3 linked regions of the Lytechinus pictus genome follow. The protein of the gene in region 3 purifies or fractionates together with the protein of the main gene of each other region. This does not show direct contact. Links are inferred from orthologs where the notes say so. Each region holds a gene or a part of one and is shown on either strand. Other genes may lie near its edges.

Evidence for each region.
Region 1: the proteins of membrane protein FAM174A-like (region 3) and protein catecholamines up-like purify together in Homo sapiens (co-immunoprecipitation; 3 studies listed by BioGRID and IntAct, with this or other methods). This does not show direct contact. The link is inferred for Lytechinus pictus from reciprocal best matches to the Homo sapiens genes FAM174A and SLC39A7.
Region 2: the proteins of membrane protein FAM174A-like (region 3) and zinc transporter ZIP11-like purify together in Homo sapiens (co-immunoprecipitation; 3 studies listed by BioGRID and IntAct, counting the BioPlex papers as one, with this or other methods). This does not show direct contact. The link is inferred for Lytechinus pictus from reciprocal best matches to the Homo sapiens genes FAM174A and SLC39A11.

What each region holds. Positions count from the first base shown.
Region 1 is NC_087259.1:18,778,308-18,785,910, forward strand, and holds the start of protein catecholamines up-like, read right to left. Parts: upstream 3,097-7,603; 5' UTR 3,016-3,096; coding exon 2,553-3,015; intron 443-2,552; coding exon 209-442; intron 1-208. UniProt on the Homo sapiens protein: Transports Zn(2+) from the endoplasmic reticulum (ER)/Golgi apparatus to the cytosol, playing an essential role in the regulation of cytosolic zinc levels.
Region 2 is NC_087254.1:12,733,481-12,741,153, forward strand, and holds the start of zinc transporter ZIP11-like, read right to left. Parts: upstream 3,055-7,673; 5' UTR 2,816-3,054; coding exon 2,708-2,815; intron 1-2,707. UniProt on the Homo sapiens protein: Zinc importer that regulates cytosolic zinc concentrations either via zinc influx from the extracellular compartment or efflux from intracellular organelles such as Golgi apparatus. May transport copper ions as well.
Region 3 is NC_087249.1:17,117,614-17,124,739, forward strand, and holds membrane protein FAM174A-like, read right to left. Parts: upstream 2,400-7,126; coding exon 2,074-2,399; intron 740-2,073; coding exon 610-739; downstream 1-609.

The sequences.
Region 1 (7,603 bases), on a different chromosome or scaffold from region 3:
GAAATACACTTCCATAGTAGATGATGACAGTTAAATGCGTTAATGCAATATGATCTGCTGAGGACAAGACTCAAATCATAAACTGTAACAAAACTAAGCTTTCTTATCCTGAATATTTTTTAATGGGAACTAAAGATGGCCATATACAATATCTACAGTCATCAACAAATTGATTACAACTGTGTTCAGTCAATGGTCATACATGTACCTTCTGGTTCAACGCTCTTTTTATCTTTTTCAGCCTCTTCTTGCTTCCCAGCTATCCTGCGTCGTACTTGCGAAGAACTTCCATTGGTTTCTTCCTCCCGTGCTGGTCCTTCATCCTCAATTTGTGCTTTCTTTGGTTTCCCCTGGCTGTGGGAATGGGCCCCATCACCCTTCACAAGGCGAACAAACTTCTCCACCAGCAGAAATAAGAGAATTCCAACTAACACCCAGAAGCCTGTTGCAAAACAAATCAAGAAATTGCCTCAATCTAACATATTCATGAAGCTAAATTGCATTCATATTGGGTTGATAATTTTGCAGATCAAGTTGATCACAAGTGAACCCATATCTTCTGAAATAGATAGAAACAAAATTAATTCAACAAGGAGAAAATAATCTTGTCGGATGTCCGAATAACAAGTGGAGAATAACTTTTTAAGTGCTTTGATCATGAAGTATTTAAAAATGTATTCATAGACAGGCATGGAAACTAATCAAGAAATTAATTAATGCAGGGCTCGACGTCAGCGGTGGCCCGGGGCAATCTAAATTGAGAGTTGGGCCACCAAATTTCTGTAAAAGCTTACACTTGGTGGCCTGGTCGGGCTACCAAAGTTATGACAAATTGTAATGTTTTCTATTGTTTTAGGACCACCAAATTTGCTTTGCGGGCCACCAAAAATATAAAATTGATGATTTTGGTGGACCGATCGGGCCACCGAGCAAAACAGCTAGTGTGGAGCCTTGATTAATGTCATAAAAACTACCAAAACATTTATACAAATTTATAACAAGGGTGGCATTTGATTGTTTTTCACATAGGCCCTAATGGATTTCTGATGACAGAAATGGACTTGTACAAAGAACACTCACTTCACTGCAGTTTAGTTATATGGAAATAAAATCATGAAAATGCCTGTATACCCAGTTGTTGTGTGTCTGGACAATCAATTTCAAACAGCCATTTGGAAAAATAACAAGCAAAGTTTATCATTTTTAGTACAGAATGTTAGACAGTATAGAGAACAAAATAGATGATTACAAGTTACAACTATTGAATTTATATTTTTTTTTTGTAAATCCAAAGACAAAAAGGCTTCAAAATTATAAAGTGTCTGGACACCCAATCCCCAACCTACATTCTACTAGTAGTAGTACTACAATCAATTTGAACTTTTTGAAATAATGATACACCAGTACCAGGCAGTGGTGGCCTTGTGCATTTAAGGTTAACTGCCAATTAAACGGTTTGCTCAAAAACAAAAGCCAATGAAGGAAGCCATATTTTGAGTTACCTATATGATTATGTAACATGAGTCAGGACCCAGTCCCAGAACAGAAAAATTGATAAGAAATGAATGGTTGACCCTCTAACAACATTAGAATAGAATCGTTTTTGTACATCTGTGTGGTCATTGTTCATAAAAGGTTGAGTGTTACATACAATATCTCTATCCATGCTACCTCGAGCGAAGTTCGTGCAGGCTCCACTCCACTTACTTCACTACCGCTACACTACGCTCCACCTACCCAAACTTTGAGACCATGAATTCAATCAGAAATTCCGAGTGACAAAAGGTGGGATTTTATGGGGAGGAAATGTAAAATTCATGCAACATCACAATCTTTAAAAATAAGTACAACTAATATTCTTACTTTACACAAAGTTTCACTTCTTTTCCATGCTTCTATCAGTCTCAAAATTGATGATTTAGAGCCAACATGAAGTTCCTCACACGTATAAGTAATTCGCTGCCGATTTTAAAACATCTCACACGCGAGGTAACGGGTCCGGTCCGAGCTCGGTACCTCGCGCATGCAATGTTTTGAAATCGGCAGCACATTAATATTTATACGTGTGAGGAACTTCATGTTGGCTCTAAATCGCCAAAACTTGAGACTGATAGAAGCATGGAAAAGTGAAACTTTGTGTAAAGTAAGAATATTAATTGTAACTTGTACTTATTTTTAAAGATCGTGATGTCGCATTAATTTTATATTTTCCCACCATAAAATCCCACATTTTGTCACATGGAATTTCTGATCGAATTCATGGTCTCAAAGTTCGGGTAGGTGGAGCATAGTGTAGCGGTAGTCATGGTATTGAAGTGGAGCCTGCACAAACTTCGCTCGAGGTATATCCATTGCATTTAATTGTTTCGATATCAAAACTTTTGCTAAGTATAATACTAGGAATTAGATAAACCCTGTAATCTGTATTGACAGATCCAACGTTAAATATAGTCAGACCTAAGTACACTATTCTGGATTCGTGGAACTTTATCTAGATTCATAAACATTATTTTGAAGTTAGAGGAGTATATCTAGTTTAAGCTTGAATTTACCAACAAGCATTGGTCCAGAGTGGTCATGATCATGACCATGGCTATGGCCGTGATCATGACTGTGCTCATGTCCGTGATCGTGCCCGTGATCATGTCCATGATCGCCATGACTGTGCGGAGAAAGCGAATGCGGGATCAAATGCAGAAACGCGTCACCAAGCAATCCACCGGATGCGAAGCTGAGCAGCACTTTCAACAGCGACTCCTGTCCCTCGCGCCCCTTGTCCAGCGGGATGAGAAAAAGGATCACGAACGGTGCTGCAGAGATCAAAACTGTGGCACCTATTGCATCTGTCCAGACATTTCCCTCATAAGATTTTGCTCCAGCTGCTTCAGCGTGGGAATGCTCATGGCTGTGTCCACTTTCTGTTTCATGATGACCATGGGCGTTGTTGTAAACGGCGAGAATTAACAACAATAAGCAGACGATGGGCATTCGCGTTCTTCGCACGGAGGCTGCCATGTTTCAACAATAGAGAATTATACGTGGCTTATCAACGATCGCAACCTCGTCTCCAGTCGTCATGTACCGTACGGTAACAATGAAACGAAATATTAAAGGGAGGAGGGGTTGTGGGGAGGGTCTTGGGAGGGGATCATTATTGATTCGCTGACTTAATGGCCCGTATTCTGAAGTCAGGTTTAAGTTAAACTCAGGTTCAAAGTTGTGGTTTAAGTATGGACAGCCAAAAGTATCAATTTTTTTTATTAAGTTGTACGTTTCTTATGTTTGCTGTGCTCTTTCCGGATTCATCGATGGTGAAGACAATAATCTATATAGACAATAATGAATGATTTGAGAGCCAAATGAGCTGAAATATTATATCCCTTCTGTTAGTGATTTATGTAACAATTGGCTATCCATACTTAAACCACCACTTTAAACCTGAGTTTAAGTTAAACCCGACTTCAGAATACGGGCCAGTGTATTTGATTTTTCTTAATTCACCAGAAACAATGATATTTTTTTTTGAAGTCAAAATAAAAAATATCATTGTTTCTGAGTGAATTAAGAAAGGGTAATATGTATTCATATAATAAACAATAAAAGCGACCTAGGAAGTGAGTGCAATCCCAAGGGCCCGGGGGGCACTCAGTATATGATGCATAGTGGGTATGTGCCGCGGAGGGCCGGGACCCCCATTTTTACACTCAAATTTCCGTTCCAAGGCATAGCATTTTTGTCTTATTGAGAAAAAAGAAGAAAGAAATCCGCTCCAAAGCTTCGCATATTTTTCGTTACGCTGTTCCGATAGCATTGATCTGCTAGCTACAATGAGCTGCAATTTTGGTGAAAAGCGGCCGCAGAGCGCTGTCCGACCATCGCCTCAGCTCTGCGCGAGCGCACCCGGCGGAGGCCGCGCTAGCTGCATCATGCACGCATGACCGTTCCATAGGGAGGCATACGCACTCACACGCTGGCGATCCGTTCCAAGGACCCCCGTTTTCACAAACATTTGTAGTTCCAAAGGCCGTTCCGAGGACCCTCCTGTTTACAATAAGCCCGCTCCAAGGCCCCCGTTTTTTTTGTCTCGCCCGCGGCACATCCCCACCACTTTTTTGGTCGAGTGCCCCCCTCTGGGCCCAAGGGGCGCGCGCCAAAAGTCATATTTCCGAATCAAGTACGGTTCCCCACCTGACAGAGTTCAGAGCTGGACCTAGTTGGGCCCCATCTTACAAAGAATTACGATTGATCCAATCAATCGTAACTCTATATGGAAATTTCACCATTAGGGTCATATTTTTTTCTACATGAAATTCACAATATTTCTTTTGTAAACAAAGCTAGGAAAACACACCAATTCGTCAAGAAATCAGTGAATCAATGGATATACATTCATATCCAGACAATTTTTTGAACAAATATTCATTTCATATGTTGACCTTGCTGCACGTACTGTAAAAAAAAAACATTGAATCAGTAGTTAACACTTAATGTATTTAAGTAGAATTTACAATTTGTAATTATTTTTCGTTGTTTTTAAGTAGTTTCAACTTGTCTTTTAATTTACTTGATTTACTTGATTTATTTGGTTTCAATATACATTTAAGAAAATTCACGTATTGATAGCTTGCTTTGATTGAGTAAATCTAACTCAATTAGGCAAAGATGATTATTACTTATAAAATCATGTTGAATGTACTTATATTTTCAATTAACGCCATATTTAAATAATGCATGAATATTCATTAGAGCAAGTAAATGTGTTTTTTTTTTAATAACTGTCATTTCTATTTGTGTTTGAAATTGTTTTGGATAAGGGTGTGCTAACTATTGTATTCTTTTGTTGAATCAAAGAAAAGGCAACATTAAATAGTCATTTAGCAGAAAATTATTCTCACTGTTTTATTTGTAAGAATGAAACGATCGCGTACTAACTATCAATGTCAGTACCTATACATGTACAGGTAAGTGACAATTCACAAAGTCTAATTGGATAAAACATGTATAAAATGAAAATGATGCCACCAAAAGTGGGACGATGGGGGAGCGGACTTTCGAATCACGAAAGTCCATCCACTCCCCCATTTGATATTTTCAAATATTTTAGTGATTGTTTTACTTAATTGAATTAAGTTATTGTAACTTAATTTTCTTGAGTAAAATGGAAGCAAAGAAAATAAGTAAATTTTACTTAAAACTGCCAAAGTCATAAATACTTGAAAAAATTAAGGCAATTTTTTGCCACAATTTTATTAAGTAATTTCTACTAATTTTTTTTTACAGTGTGGCTGTCCATAGTTACGATTGATCGGATCAATCGACACTCTCTGTACAAGACGCCCCTATTGTGTCAAGAGACATAGACCCCATAACAAAAAAAAGAGGTTTGATATAAGCTGGCCATAAGCTGACAATATAGCTCTTATAAATAATTAGTACGTAGTCTGTTATTTAATAATGTTTGAAAAGATAAAACGAGAAAATGAGGCCTGTATTGGCCTATATATAGGCCTAGGCCTATTTCGTAACTGAAATTTCATCAAAATCGAATGAAAAAAATAATAAAGTTAAGGTACTTCAAAGTTTCATTTATTTTCATAAAACGGTCCGTACTGTAACACAGGCGATAAAGCAACCAATTGTATCATTTCTTTTGTAGGCATAATATAGGCCGGCTATACTATTGTAAAACCATGCAGGGAGTTGGGAGGTGAATGACTCCGGCATGCATCTATAAACGCTTAAGCCCCCCCCCCCCCCAAAAAAAAATAATAATAATAATAAATAAAAGATACAACCAAGATGGAAATAAGAAAAAAAAAAAAAAAAAGAAAGAAAATGAAAGGAATAGAGGTGAATTATGATATTACTTTTCTATATGTCTAAATTTATCATGTACAATAATAATGTTGCCCATATACGCCATGTCTGGCATTCTCAGAATTTTTGGAGCGTTACACTGCGACCTTTATCTGAAAGATTGTTGATTACATGTACTACGAAATCATTTTTTCCTATAGTGTTTGACACCATTCATTTTTATAGAGCTATACCACCCGTAATGTGTTTGTTTTGTGAAATCATATTATAGATCAACACATATTGATATCATCCGTTGTTTTTCATGATGAAATAAAGCGCAGCTTTGTCATGCTTATTTTACCTACTATTTTGTGAAAATGTTGTTTCAATTCAAATCAAACTATATTGTTGGGGTGCATTGACCTAAATTGGTTGATCGAGTGACTAGTACTTTTTAATGAACAAAATAACTATCAAAACATAGCAAACTTGTGTGATAAGAGAGCATTTGTGCATTTGTGGATCCGCATGCAGATAGAGGCACAGCCACAGAAAAATGTCGTAGATACACAACTGACGACATTTTCCCTCGATCTATTTTTTTACTTGCTTGCTTGTTAAATTTGTTGTGACATATAATTATAAATCGTCCTTCATTAAGAAGTGAAAACTTTCTCCTTTTTTATTGGGGGGGGGGGGGAGTTGTCAAATTTAACAAAAATGAACAAAATGTCCCGTTATACCGTGACACCACAGGGGTGCTGGGGCGACTGCTTAGAATTTTCAATTAGTGGAAATATAACAAAGGAGAAAGGGAAGAAAGAGGGAGAAAGGGAAAGAAAGCATCTACACGAGGCCTACGTATAAATAAATAGAACTGTTTCCTATCATATTCAGATTTTTTAACAAAAAAAGATATTCATGCATGACAACCCAAAGGCTTTCCAGATGCTTGCCATGCATAGCAACGGATAGTATGCAAATAATTCCGAGTATTGTCGGCTATTCTTTCCTGGCAGATTGAATGTGATGTCTCGTTAAGGTTCCTGGAAAAATCTGTGAACTTGACCATTATTTGCAAAGTAGGCCTATTATGCAGTCGATATTACTGAAAAGAACTTCGATCCAGCATTTGAACAGAAGATTTTCAGTCGTGGTCGAAGTAATTAAACCAATATAACTGGATGAGGTAATCACCAATCATTATATGTTTTATTTCATGTAAGAATGTATTTAAAATCATGCATTGATTATTATAGAGGTTGTTAGAACATGCGCGGTTGCAAATTATATAGGAGCAAATAAGGGGGCAATTATAATAACATGTGCAACTATAAGTGGGGGTGAGGCAAAGAGAAAAGGAAAGGGGAAGGGGGTTGAAGAAAAGGCGGAAAGCGATTAAGGGGTATGTATTAAACTACGTTTATTTTTTTTTTGTCTTTTGTCATGATGATTGACTGATTTTTAGCCCGATATACTTTCAAAATCTTAGCCATTTTCCCACGGGGTCGATCAGTTCCGGTCTTCCCTTCCACCCCCCCCCCCCCCCAGTATAGGATCTAGCTTTTGCTAATAGTTTGACCAAGTATTTGACTAGAAAAATGAAACAGTCATAATACATAACCCCAAAATGATTGCATTTTGGGTTACGCCTCTGCATCCTACCCCTCTTTCGCGTAGATTACATCCGACATGCACCCCTCCCTTTTCCTCTTTTTTTCTAGGGAGCTCAAACGTATATAAAAACGCCCCCTTCGTTCAGTCACTGCTTCGTTAGTCAGAGCTGCTTGTTGGACTTTGTTTT
Region 2 (7,673 bases), on a different chromosome or scaffold from region 3:
ACTTAGACATAGACACAGGACTGGGGTAGATTGGGGTCTCAATAACTTACTTTTAAAAAATGTGAAAACAGAAATTATGCACTTACATGTACCACGATTATATGGATGAAGGTATATCGTGTGACAGCATCCTGACATCGAGGCAGACTGGAACCTCACAAAAAACCGAAAAGATCTGTCGCGATACCTCTCCTTCTACCCCAGTCTCGATCTGCCATTTTGTTATGAATTTTGAAAGGAGAGGTACATCGCGACAGAACTTTTCGTTTTTTTGAGGTTCCAGTCTGTGCCTCGATGTCAGAATGCTGTCACACGATTGACCTTCATCCTTATAATCATGGTAAGTGCATAATTTCTGTTTTCACATTTTAAAAAGTTATTGAGACCCCAATCTACCCACTCCTAGTACCAATGAGGTCCAAACATTACATGTATGGACCTCATAGGCGACAATGCGTTAAAAACAGGTTAGAAGTAGAACCGTTACTGTTTCCTGCACCCAAGTATGATATTACTCCCTAAATACGATTTTTTTTTCTCGTTTGTTTATCATTTATTAAAAGATTGCCCATTAAATATCATATTATTTCTACTTAAGATTTAATAAAATAAAGGGAAACTTACATTGAGTCCTTTTTCGATCTTTTCTTGGCAGTCAGTGCGGTCACCGTCGAGTGCGATCAAAGCGGTATGAAGCTGATTTTCAGATCACGTGATACGTGTAGTCATCACCTGATCTATCGACTATCCTTTTTTAAAGACCGCAACAATTATAAATTTTATTATAAAATATATATAGAATAAATAATTGCATGATAATATATATATCTCTACAATTAAAAATATTTTGTGATATAAATTTAATATTTGACGTAAAAATCGCTATTTAACAAAATATTTATTAAAAAGTAAAAAATAAAACAAAATAAAAACGCCTTGGACACAGTGCAAAAAACCTAACGATTTTGCCGCGTTGTTAACAACTATCGTAAGGGGCGCTCTATTTATAAATAAAAAAGAATGTACAGCTGTCTACCGCGACGTAGTTTGTCGCAAGATTTGGGACAAATCCTTGCGAATTCTGGAGAAAATACATCAAAAGAACTGGTGAGTACCGTTTAAACATTATCAAATTACTAAATAGATTATACATACCTTGTAGATTTAGTTTTTAAGGTGATATTAGTGCTTAGTTCTAAGCTAGGGAGGCCCAAACGCGCGTGAGCGGAGTCTAGTCTTGAGGACGCAATGATGATGATTTTTAAAATAATGAAATATACTTCTTCATCATTGACGTCTTGACACTCTTCCCCCAGTCGCATAAGAGAAGGACCATAATAAAGATGGATTTCCCTCGGAAATCCATCTTTAGAAACAAAAATCACTTTAATTGTATTGATTTCATTAATTTTCACACCTTCCTACGCCTAATGCGTAGGAAGGTTTTAAAAATTATAACATGAAAGTGTGAAAAATTTAAGGTTTCTTACCTAACTGATGCTGAGTAAACCCCTCGATCCACATGTAAACAACGTAAGTACAATAGCGTCGACCCTTGAACCGCTTATGTATGACGTACTTCCGGCTAGCGATGCCGTTCTGATGAATAATTTATAGAAAAAAAATATTATTTCGCAAATGTTAAAATGTATCACGTAAATTAAAAATAATTGTCAGTTTCATACCAATTATTTTTATTTACGTGATAAATTTTAACATTTGCGAAATAATTTTTTTTTCTATAAATTATTCATCAGAACGGCATCGCTAGCCGGAAGTACGTCATACATAAGCGGTTCAAGGGTCGACGCTATTGTACTTACGTTGTTTACATGTGGATCGAGGGGTTTACTCAGCATCAGTTAGGTAAGAAACCTTAAATTTTTCACACTTTCATGTTATAATTTTTAAAACCTTCCTACGCATTAGGCGTAGGAAGGTGTGAAAATTAATGAAATCAATACAATTAAAGTGATTTTTGTTTCTAAAGATGGATTTCCGAGGGAAATCCATCTTTATTATGGTCCTTCTCTTATGCGACTGGGGGAAGAGTGTCAAGACGTCAATGATGAAGAAGTATATTTCATTATTTTAAAAATCATCATCATTGCGTCCTCAAGACTAAGCGGAGTCCCACTTTATTAACACGGGTAAGTATTGCGGTGTCGCCTAGAGTGCCCTAGTCCTGTGTCTATGTCTAAATGTCGGTGGACTCCTGGGATCCGGCCCGCAAAGCGGGCCGGAGCTCCCTGGGCTACCTTGCCCCTTGTAATACTAGTTTACTTACCCAGTTGCCAATTTGAAATCTACATACTATTAGTGATCTCAATTTTAATTAAAGCAGCTATAACTTTCTTATTGCTTGTCGGATTTCTTTCAAACTTTCACTATTCTGTTTAGTTCATTTTTCTCCTTCCCAACACATTTTATGGCCAAGGCTGGATTCCCCTTTCACAGTTGGATAATGAAAAAAAATAAAAAATTATCAAACCAGTCTCTGTTCACGCATCACGTTCCATCGTTTGTTATACTACATTGGCTACACTCACCTAGTACTGGGGATGACACTGAAAATGTCAGAAACTGATAAATAAATCCCAAGAAAATGCCATTATTTCTGTCTACCAACAAGGCAAATCAATGGCAATGCACTAACTCACATTACGCAGATTTTTGTACGTGGGACTACATCCCTCAAATTTCTCACCTTTCCACTCGTAAAGACGAACACCAGTGCAGCTCCAGCGGCTGTTAACCCCCATGTAAACAAAGTACCAAATAAAGACTGAGTAACTGGATCATAACCTTGCAACATTTTGATGAATTTTTAATTGAGATCAAGAAAAGAAAGTGAATTCCGAATTTGGGAACAAGAGAGCTGGCGGATCTGCCCGCAGGACTGCAGCATATCAGAACTAGCAAGCATGATCCGCTAGCGCGGGGCTAGGCTAGCTGGGCGGCTCCGGCTGCATAAAGTGGGCGGGGAGCTAGCTAGCCGCGTGGCGCTGATATGTAAACACCAACACTGATGCTCCTCTTGATCTTCCGATCTCTGGTAGCAGCAGAATCCTATGGTAAAGCGCCACGTATAAATGATAACTCGTCAGCTGGTATGGACCGTGCAAAAAAAGAGCCACGGCGATAAACTATATAGAATCCAATGTTTGTACATCATGATTTTTTAGACAAAAGTAATCGGATATCATGGGGGACTGCATGGTTGACTAGATATCCATCTAAAATATCTCCCACAATTGGTAAGAACCAAGAAGATAAACAAAGATAAAGCCCCCCCCTCCGCATCCCCCATGCAAAGATAAGACTGAGAAAAATATAAGAGCAAAAATAAATGAAGGGTGATTCAAACGAAATGCAATTATGTTATTGGGAACTATATTATATAAAACTAGATATCCACTTATTAAAGAAAGCCCTAACCCAAGGCCCCCCCCCCCAAAAAAAAAAAAAAAAAAAAAAAAGCACCGGCCCTGCCTCATGCAATAAAAAGAAAAGAGCAACAAATAAGAACAAAAATAATCAAATGGTGATTGGGAGGAGGGGGAGTGGGTATAAAAATGGACCTACTATATATAGGTCCATCAGGTATAAAATAGGTCTAAGGGTCAGAACGTTGGAGTTTTCACATTAAGCCTATATCGTCATCATCGACATTGTTATCTCCATCCATCATCCGAAGAGCATCATCATCATCACCTTCATCATTATCACCATCATCATCAGCAGCAGCATCATCATCATCATCTAGCATCATCATCATCCTCATCATTTTTATCATCCGATAATCATAATTACCATCATATCATCATTACATCATCATTATCGTCACCGTTATCATCATCATCATCATCATCATCATTATCATCATCATTATCATCATCATCATCATCTTGATGACTTGATTTATGATGAAAACATTCCAGTTGGATGGATTTCTTCTTCTTCCTGTCTCTCCCTTTTTTCTTTTTTCCCCTCTTCCTCTTTCCTTTTTTTTCTTCCGCTTCATCTCTCTCATTTTCTTCTCTTCCTTAATTCCCCTTCTTCCCCTCTCTCTTTTTTATTATTTTCCTCTCTAACTGAAAGGAACTAGGAGGAGGAAAAGAGGGGTAGGGCCAACATACGTTCTTGGCTCTGGCTCCCGACCCATACAGACTTAAAGTGGGAGTTCACCCTGAAAAACATTTTATTTATTGTAAAAATGCAGAAAAAATAACAATATTGCCGAAGTTTTGAGAAAAATCAATCAAAGAATACAAATGTTATTAGAATTGTATTAATTGATTTGACGTCATATGCGAGCAGCTTTCCAACACAATTATGGTAAACAAAAATCAATGAAATGTCATTTTCTCAGTAAATTAATTGTGTATATCAATAGACGAATCATTTCACACCCTTTCCTTAAAAAGAAAGCAAATGAGTCATCACGAACCATTAAACATTATATGTTACATTGCATAGGCCTAACATACGAGGCAGCTACTCGTTTATGATGTCACAAATGCAAAACATACAATTTTAATAACTTTCTTAATCTTGACATAAAAATACTTTTTTTTTTTTGGGGGGGGGGGCAAGCAATAGATGAAGGTCTCAAGCAAGGCCCTCCTTGTTATGGAGACCAGTGAGGGTCAGAACTGAGGGTATGAGACAACATATTTTTGAGGGAGCTCATTTTTATACAGTGATCTGTGTGGAGAAGAATGTGAGAGAGTGAAGCAAGCCCAGTTTTGGTAACTTAAACTTTTTAATACATGTAGATTTGGCGCGTAAAAAGGTCAAATCTGCCAGATAATGGATTGACTTTGGTGAAAAATGAAGTACAATTTTTTATGGGGCAGTAAATTCTCCCCCATCTGAAATATGCTGGGCACAAATTTGGACCATGTAGGCCTATTTAGCAGGTGTTGGTCAAATGTGAAGTCGGACATTACTTCACAGGGGCCGCGGAACTGTTTTCAAAGTGGGGGGGCTGAGCCAAAAGTGGGGGGGCTGACCATGCTAAAAATCACAATCATATGGTCATTTTTAAGTTTTTGTACACGGTTTTAAAAAAAGTGGGGGGGCTGAAGCCCCCCAGCCCCCCCCCCCCCCCCCGGTTCCGCGGCCCCTGCTTCAGTGGGGGGAATATTCGCTTGTTCGAGCATTTGAGTGAGCGAATATGCAACAGGCCTTGTCTGATCGAAGCGCTCACAAACAAAACTTGAATAGCGCCATCTGTAGATTAAAAACAACACATGCACACGTCATTCTATTGCGATTGCAGCTGCGGAGCCAACGAGAATAGAGACTCGAGTACCCCGAATCTCCCCGACACTGGAACCTCAGACTCCCACCGGCGCGGCTCGCATAATTTGACTTCTGCTGCTGCGCCATGATCGAAGAACCTCTGTGTCGGCGCCTCACTCTTTCGAAAATCTGGAATCAAGGAGACTGGCTTCGTTGTACAACTAACTACTGCAGCATCCATTGCTGACTTGGCCTGGCCTGGCCTTGGCTTTATTATAGCCATATTGAATGGGATTCAGTCATGCCTTTTGAGATGGAAGATTTGATCGAGGACGGTGTTGCAGATGGATGGTATGAAAATGGTGAGAAAAACAAATCACTCGACGTCGACTTTAGTCTATAAATATCACCATTCTGATTCAGTTAGTAGTAAGCTTACTGATGTTCATGACATTAGTTTTTTTTTCCTGTAGTCATCAAGTGAACTGTATACCCAGTTGTTGTGTGTTCGGACAGGTTGTGTGTCCGGACGATTATAGTTTTTTTAGAAAGTCATTTGGAAAAAATTACAAGCGAAGTTTAAAGGTAAATTCCAGTTCTGGTAAATTTACTAATGTAGGCTTACTCTAAACGAAGCCAGGGAGTCCTCCCTATTCATCTGCTGCATGTACCGCAAAAAACCCTGAAACTTTCCCCCCCGAGATTTCTACTTTCCTTCTAAAACTAGATCTAGCTCTAAATCATGTATGATGGGGTGTCCAAACTTCGCGCACTTTTCAAAAATATTCATCAGGCTTAAATTTTCTAACAAAATATTCATAATTTATACAAAACCAATTCAAGAAATAGTTACCACATTGACAGCAAGATCGTAAACTATAAAATCATGGACGAAAATGTAAAGTAGGTCAAGGGGATTCGCCGGTATATCGCGATCTCAAAATTCTATTCCGATCGGCGAATGCGCGCTGTGCTGGAAAACCATTCAGAAAAAGTGTGACCTAACTTCGCGGACCAAAGTTTTTGTGGACATTTAAACAAAAACTCAAGCCCAAAAAGTGAAATATTTATATCAGATTGATGGCAAAATGCTATAGAATCGGTTAGTACCACATTTAACTTACATTTTAGATGATTTCTGCTTGCAAAATGGTGATATCGTGATGCTTGTTGAGAATATCAGATTTCTTCAAAACGGGCGCTAACGGTGACAAATTTGCCGATCTTTTGCCAATATTTTCATGAATACTGAACTCATCCTAAAGAAACTTACACCAAAGGGTAATTTTAGGTCGCTTTTCATGTTGATGATGTCAGATTTTAAGGATATTTGCTAGTTTTTTAGATAATGACCGTCTGCGAAGTATGGACACGCGCGAAGTTTGGACTCACTGCCATACATGGGATAAAGAGTCATACTTAACCTTGGTTTTACAGACTTTCTCACGAAATTAGTGTTTTACTGCAACTACTTTCATTTAGCTTTAATCAATTTTTAGTACAAAATGTTAGGAAATATAAAAAACAAAATAGAAGATGATTACAAGTATTGAATTCATATTTTTAGTGTAATCCAAAGACATAAAAGAAGGCTTGAAAAGATCAACTGTCCGGACACCCGACCCCCCATCCTACTGGGATCTTTGGAAAGACTTCCATATGCCCCCTCCACTCCATTGCTTTGCACTGTCTGTGTAATTAAAAAAAATTCTACGACAAAAGCAATAAACACCTCTTAATACCTTTGTTCTATTTTTCTTCTTCTTGAAGGCCGAAGGGGGCCCCCCATGTCTATGCACCTAAAAAAATTAGCTTAAGATTAAACATGAATGTCTCTTTATTCAGGTTTATTCCACACAAATATCAGTTGATAATGTTCCTTATAAAATTATGATATCAATTATAAAGCTATAAAGTGTGCCAAAAATCTTATTGAATTTCAGACTGAGACTTGAGAAATAGAAAAGTCTAGACTAGGCATTATTGTGAAATTGGGATTAACTGTTCACTTCGTACAGAAGCGTTTTATTCAGTCATACGCATTGGTTCCCCATTTCCACCTACATTCACTTTGTACACAAGTGTGTGCGTACAAATATGGACGAGTGCACTCCTGAAATTCAATATTTCTCTCCATTTTGAGTCAGATTATACTTGCTTAATCTCTCTTATTTGTATTTTTTTTTTAATTTAAGTGGAGGGGACAGAAGTCTTTCCTTAAACATCTTTTCTAAGCTACTATAAAACTTAAAAGTAAATGTGAAGCCAAGAAGTGCATACTGGTACCTTACAAATGTTATTACCTTAAAGGTCAAGTCCACCCCAGGAAAATACTGACTTGAATAAATGGAGAAAAATCAAACAAGCATAGACCTAGTGCTGAAAATTTCATCAAAATCGGATGTAAAATAAGAAGGTTATGGCAT
Region 3 (7,126 bases):
CAAGGTGTATATTTTACTCCTAGCTGCAAGTTTTCTTCCACAGCAAGGGGCCAGGGAGATCAAGGGAATCATGGGTAATGCACATGCAAGATCAAGTCTCTCAGAATGATACTTGATCCAATATGACCCCATAATAATTAAAAGTCACATGGTGCAGAAATTCAGTACATCAATTTTTTAAAACTTCCTTTTCAAATGACATCTTATAATAATAAAGATCTTTAAACATATAAGTAGTTATATAAGCACCTTTGCTTTTTGAGAGATGACTGGGAGGAGGGGGGGGGGGAGGCTGTATTTGGCATTCTGCCAATCACAATAAATATACTATGAAAATTTGACACAACAAATGGTATTCAATACCCAGGGTTAACAAATAAACCTTCCCCTATCAAAATTCCCCTAAATTGATACATTTACATCTTACATACATGTACATGCAAGTCCATCTTGGCATATCAATAAGTAACAAAGAATGCATTAGTACATACAAATATGTTAGGGAATGTGCTTCATGCATCTTGTTTACTTCAAGGCAAATTACATGTATTTCTTTTTTTTTAATGCTTGGATAGGTTAAAGTGTTTGTGGTGTGTAAATAAATTATTACTATTTTGAGTTGACGTCAAACACTGTCATGTCTTCTTCATCATCATCCTGGTCGAGTGGTCGTAATTCCATGTCTGATGAACGTGTTGCCAGTACCCCATATTTCTTGGACTTTCTCTTTCCTCTTGACCTGTGAAAACACAAATAAAGAGAGTGTGACATATGTATCTGAATTTCTTTTAATTAAAGTGAAGATTCCTTCAAGACAAGAAGCCCGTTCTGAATTAACCAAGGTAACTTTGCCATTCTGGCAACTTTAAGTCTACAATGGCTCGGCCTCAACATACATGTAGCCTCAAAATAAAGGTTTCCTCATTTTAAGTTACCATGAATGTATCTATACATGTAGTTACATGTACCATAGTTGGAAGGCTGTGAAACAGTAGTCTTGAGGACTCCATGATGATGTCTTTTTTAAATACTTTGACTAAACTTCTTCATCATTGGAGTCTTGAACCGCCCTTCATATATGTATAAGAGACACTTTTAAACAAAGATGGATTTCCCTAGGAAATCCAGCTTTTGATATAAAAATCACGTAAATTGTTGTGATTTTATTAATCTCTACACCTTCCTACGCCTAATGCATAGGAAGATTTTAAAAATGGTCAATTGAAATGTTACAAAATGAAGGTTTCTTACCAGACCGATGTCTTGTAGATCCCTCGATCAAAATGTACACAACGCAAATACAATAGGGTCGATCCTTGAACCGCTTATGTATGACGTACATCCAGTAAGCAAAGCCGTTTTGAAGAACAATTTATAGATAAAAATTATTATTTCACAAATACTAAAATTTATTACGTGATTATAAATATTTAGCAGTATTATACTAATTATTTATAATTACGTAATAACTTTTAGCTAACCACTAACCGGATGTATGTCATAGGTCATCACGAAGCGATTCAAGGGTCAGGTCTATGGTCTTTGCTTTGTTGACAAACGGATCGAGGGATCCACGGGAGATCGGGTCTGTAAGAAACGTCTCATTTTTACCATTTATAGTGAAATAATTTTTATCCCTTTATACGCATTAGGCGCCTGAAGGTTCATAGATAAATAAAATTTGACAATACAAACCGATTTCACCCTCTGAAGGAAATCCATCTTTGTGTACATGTGTCTCTTATAGATATACATGTATGGACGGGGATTCAAGACTCCATGATGAAGTAATATATGTCAAAATATGAAAAAAAAACATCATCATGGAGTCCTCAAGTCAAGACTAGCTAACTGCATTCATTCAACAGTTAAGCAGTTCAATGAACAAGGTTATGGCTAACTGGTACATTTTAAGGCCTTGATCTTCCTTTATAGTTTCCCTTCTTCATGTTCTTGGAACCAGCTAAATGTGTTTTATAATTTGAGCCCTTTTCATCTGATTCGAACTTAGAAAACAGATCAATCATGTTTTTTTTTCATTATTTATTTATTTTTTTTATTATTATTTCTTACCTGAACCATCTGACAGCAAAAAACACCATAGCTAATAACGTAAATCCAATCAGCACAAAGAAACTCCTTCTCAGCATGCTTTTGTCATACAAAACATCGCCAAAATCGAATTTTCCATCATGTGACGAAGTTGTGTTTGCGGTCGGTATTTTGGAAGTGCCGAGGTTAGAGCCCGGTGAATGTGGCGTAGCCGTAGGAGTTGTCTTGCCAGCCGGAGGTTGCCCGTCGCCGACGGGATCAGGATCCGCTGCTAATGCCAAGTCCAGCTGCCATCCAAGAAACCCAATCAGGAAATAATGCAGGGAACTATTAAGTTTCGAAAACATTGCGTTGAAGAAAAATAGCATCCTTAGGGAATCAACTGAAATAAATTTGATTCCCATTTTCAGCTCAATATTGTACAAAATCCGATGGTTTAGCTAGATTTTTCACTTTTAGTATCGCAGAGATCCACGTCATATGATCACTAATGAACGCAGGGGGCGCCAACACTCTCCGATTCTAAATAATTGTGATATTGGTTTTTATTTCGATTTTTTTATTTTATTTCACCCTTTGTTATTGAATTTTAAACTGCACCTTCAAGCAATCATTAATAGATGGGCTGATGATGATATGTCCCCACTCTCCACCTTCATTTTTCATATGATATTTCATGAATTCATAATCATCTCATATAGATCTATTCATGCATGTGTGTAAGCTTCCCCGGGTAGCAAAACAAGTTGCACCAATGATTAATAAAATTATACTCAATCCATTCTTTTCATTGTTGGAGGACAAAATTCTAATAAATATAATTTCATAATTATTTTGATTGGATTTGATTATGAAAATAGAAGCTAATAATAATTAGAGTTGTGAAATATATGATTTTGAAAATGATTTCAGTGTATGTGTTACATTTTTTATGTTTCCACTTTGTTTTAGAATTTCTTTTTTTTTTTAATAAAGAAAATAAAAAAAATCCGAATAAAAAAAAAATCTGATTTAAATCAAATAAATCCGATTTTTTTCCAAAAAATAATGAAAAAAAAAAAATCGCCAACCCTGTTGCATATTCATGAAGACGTGCATAGAACTTACTTTTCACCGCCTGTAATTAAAATTCACAACTTGTTCCTTATCCGATTTTGATATAAGTTTCAATGTTTTATTTGTGTGAGTTTAGCTGTTCAGTGGTTCTGCCTGGAGTACCAATTAAGTTTCGATAGAACACGATCTTACTAACCTTATCGGTATGATCACTGGCGTACAGATAGGGGGCACTTGCCCACCCCCCAAAAAAAAGAGAGAGAAAAGGAAAGAAACTGGAAAGAGAGAAGGGTGAAATATATTGCTTTCTAAAAATAATGTCAAAATCTATCACAAAATTTGTAATAAAAATGTCAAAACTTTTACTCGCGGCAACTTTCTATGAATTTTGCCAAACGCAGCTCACCCCCCCCCCCCCCGGCCGGTCCAAAATCTAGTTGAAACCAATAAGCCAGTTCGTAGTTCCATTCTGCGCATGATCAGAGAAAGGTCATTTGTACTAAAGTGGCATGGTGGCCTTAAAATTTAATGAGATAAGCACCAGCTTTGGTGTCTTGATTATTCATATATTCTTTTCAATTGTGTTTTTCATTTGCATCCACAAAGAACAAAAATGCGTCCACGACTGGTATTTGATTTTGATTTATTGTTTTCTTCTGCATCCATAACATTCGTATAATACATTTTTCATAACATAATAAACATAATATGCTAGCATATATTCACTGCAGTTTGCCAAGTACATTGTACAACATGCTATAATATGCATTCAAAGTAGAAATGCAACAAATACCTTCATGGAGTCTTCAATGGTGTGCTATTCTAGTCACCTGGTATAATTCAATTTCTTCATCCTGCTATGTAAGGCATGCATATGTTATATCCTGCTTTGAAATCTGCCTATCATAATGAAATAAATGAAAGGTCATTTGACCAAAATTGTCCCTGATGTAACTACGAACTGGTCTATTAGAGCAAATCCAGTTGAAACCAGTTGGCCAACTGGTTTCAATAGGGAAATTGGAACAACTGGTTCCAATTGAAACCAGTTGCCAATTGATTCCAGTTAAGGCAACTGGAACCAGTTGGCTATTGGTTTCAATTGGTTTCAGTCGAAACCAATTAGGCATTTGCATATCAATTGGTTCCAGTTGTTCAAATTTCCCTATTAAAACCAGTCAATTCCAATTGGAGGCAAAAACCCGATTGGTTTCATCTAGCTGGATCCAATTTGATACCAATGATAAAGGGCATTATTAAAATTTAGGCTTTCACATATACATTTATATTGAGGAGCTTCGAATATAAATATGATATTAGGATTTCCAGTTACATGTACATAACTGGTACCTGTTAGGATTTCCAGTTACCCAACTGGTCATGCTGGTTCCAGTAAGAAGTCATTTCCATGCAGTTGGAAGACATTTCCAGCTATACTCAACTGGTTCCAGTTAGAATTTCCAGTTGCCTGGTTCAAATTGGTTTCAATTGGAAACTGTTATATTCCAGTTAAATTAAACCAATTAAAACCAGTTTGAAATCAAACTGGGCGTTGTGGCGTGCGCCTGTAATCCAAGCTGTGGGGAAGTTACAAATTGATGCAGAGGTTCGAGCCCTGGTCACGTCTTTCGGATGGTGACGTTAAAGGTCGGTCCCAGACGTAAATAATCATATCTGATTGATACACGTCTGACAAAACTCAAATACACACAACTGGCTTCAATTGGATTTTGGTCCTGTGCCCCCATTTTACCAGTCCACTGGGCATGATCTCGTGAAAGGAGTGAGAAACGATAGGGGCAGATCCATGCAGGGTTTTTATTTCCAATAAGGGGGGGGGGGGGGAGCTAGGCCTTGGAGTTCGGGTAGTCCTAAACACTGAAATTGTATAGGCCTAAAGATATTTAGCTTTATTTTTGCAAAACAAATTAAGGTCATAATCATTAATAGTTCATGTGATCGCCGTGTCTGAAGTTTTTTTTTGTAATTTACACCCGAAGACAGAACATTCTAAGCGCCTATGGTGAAGTAGATGTGAAACTAACCAAACAATATTATAACGAGTGTAGAGGGAGGTAAATACTTGATAAATACGGGTTCTGTTGACTTGAATCCTTGATTCTGATTGGCTGTTGAGACTTGTTACCATGGTAGTTAATTGGATGGAAAGTATGTTACCATAATGGTAACTTTCATGCAACGGGCAGCATAGGCAGTGGCGTTTATTAACCAAAAATTTGGAGGGGCTTGATTTGACCTATCACGTAAAATTAATAAAAGTTGCGAGTGTAAAAACACGTTTCGACATTTTCATCTCAAGAATCCAAGTTTGTAATAGATTTTGACATAACATTCAGAAAATAATATCACATTTCACAGTTATCCCTTTACTTTTCTCTTTTTTTCCCTTGGTCGTGATTTATTTTTTATTCATATTTATTTATTATTATTATTTTTTTAAATTTATTTATTCATTTTTTTTTTTTTGGGGGGGGGGGGGGGCGTGGGCTCGCCCAAAGCCCCTCCCTTCCTGACAGTGTGCAACAGGACCCTGATGAAGAAAGCTATAGGGCAGGTATCTCGATCACTCATCAACTTATTGCAATCGCGAAGTGCGATCGGAAATCTTTTAAGTCTAACAGCTATCCTCTAAACCAGCCTTTCTCAATTACTTTTTTTGGAAGCGCCACATTTCTTGTCGAGAATCTGTAATGCTCCACTATCCATTACGCAAACCAGCAATGTATCAGCGGAGGGGGTCCAGAGGCCCCTGGTGGGGGTCGAGGGGGCAGAGCCCCCAGAAGTTTTGGAATATGAGGCCTTTTAAATTGGCCAGAGGGGCTCTAATTAATATCAACAGAAGAAATACAAATGCCAACAAACTGTACAATATTAATATTAAAAGAAAAATGACCAGTGACTTTTTCACAACATACAATATTATACCACTAGTTCAGACTGTTCTGCACCAGATCTATTGGCTGAAGCAAGTGGCGTAATGAATAAAAAAATGAGGGGGCTAGATATGGCAGCTGAAGCAAAAATATTGAACTTTTCAATATAAAAATCTATATTTTGACATAATATTAAGATAATAATACAATATTCCACTCTTTCCCTTTCCTTTTCTCCTTTTTTTTTTAAAATCTCGGCCGTGAAACATTTGGCCCCCCAATCCCCACCCCCATCTGTACGCCAGTGGCTGAAGTTACATACCCCGATTTGCAAGGGCTGAAAATTAGGCGTTGCACTGCACTAGCGCTCCAAACTGCCCCTTTCTCTTTACAACTCACGTGCAGTATCATCCATGTGCATGCAGGCAAGCTCGGCAGGCAATACATCTGAGCATAGTATTTCACTTTTACAACTTCAGATTTTAATCGGCTCCGGAAACAAAGTTTCTGCTTGTTATGTCTCAAATTCATAATTTTTTTATGATCAGGATGTTCTTTGAATATCACATTATTTGATGTTTAACTCTTAACCAAAACGTATACTCTAGCTGGAAATGCAAAATTTCTCGCCGTTGAAATAGAAATCCTACAAACGGGGTTTTCAAATCACTTGTGTGGCACATAAACTTTGTACAGCATAGAATGAATAAAAGGGAGAACACCATCGATCCTCTATAATGGGGGTTATCGAGTGCTAAATTGGGAAAAAATGAGGAAATAAATTAGCAATTAAGTGTCAAGTAAAGAGTTTTTGTTTTTTCTTTGTATTAAAATGATCACCAAATCCTTATTTCCAGGTAATTACTGGTAGATACATTTTTTCTCCCCAATGTTTCCTTATTTTTACTTGTTTTAAATACCAGCTCCCAAGCGCCACCCCGCAAGGCTCGGTGCGCCACAAGTGGCGCGCGCGCCACCATTTGAGAATCCCTGCTCTAAACCTTTTTATTTTATAATGAATAGAACTTTATTTCTGCCTGGCCCATTTGAAATTTCTAGTAAACTTCCCGGTAAACTTAGATATCAAATAAAAAAGCAGATATTTAACTTTAAAACACGATATG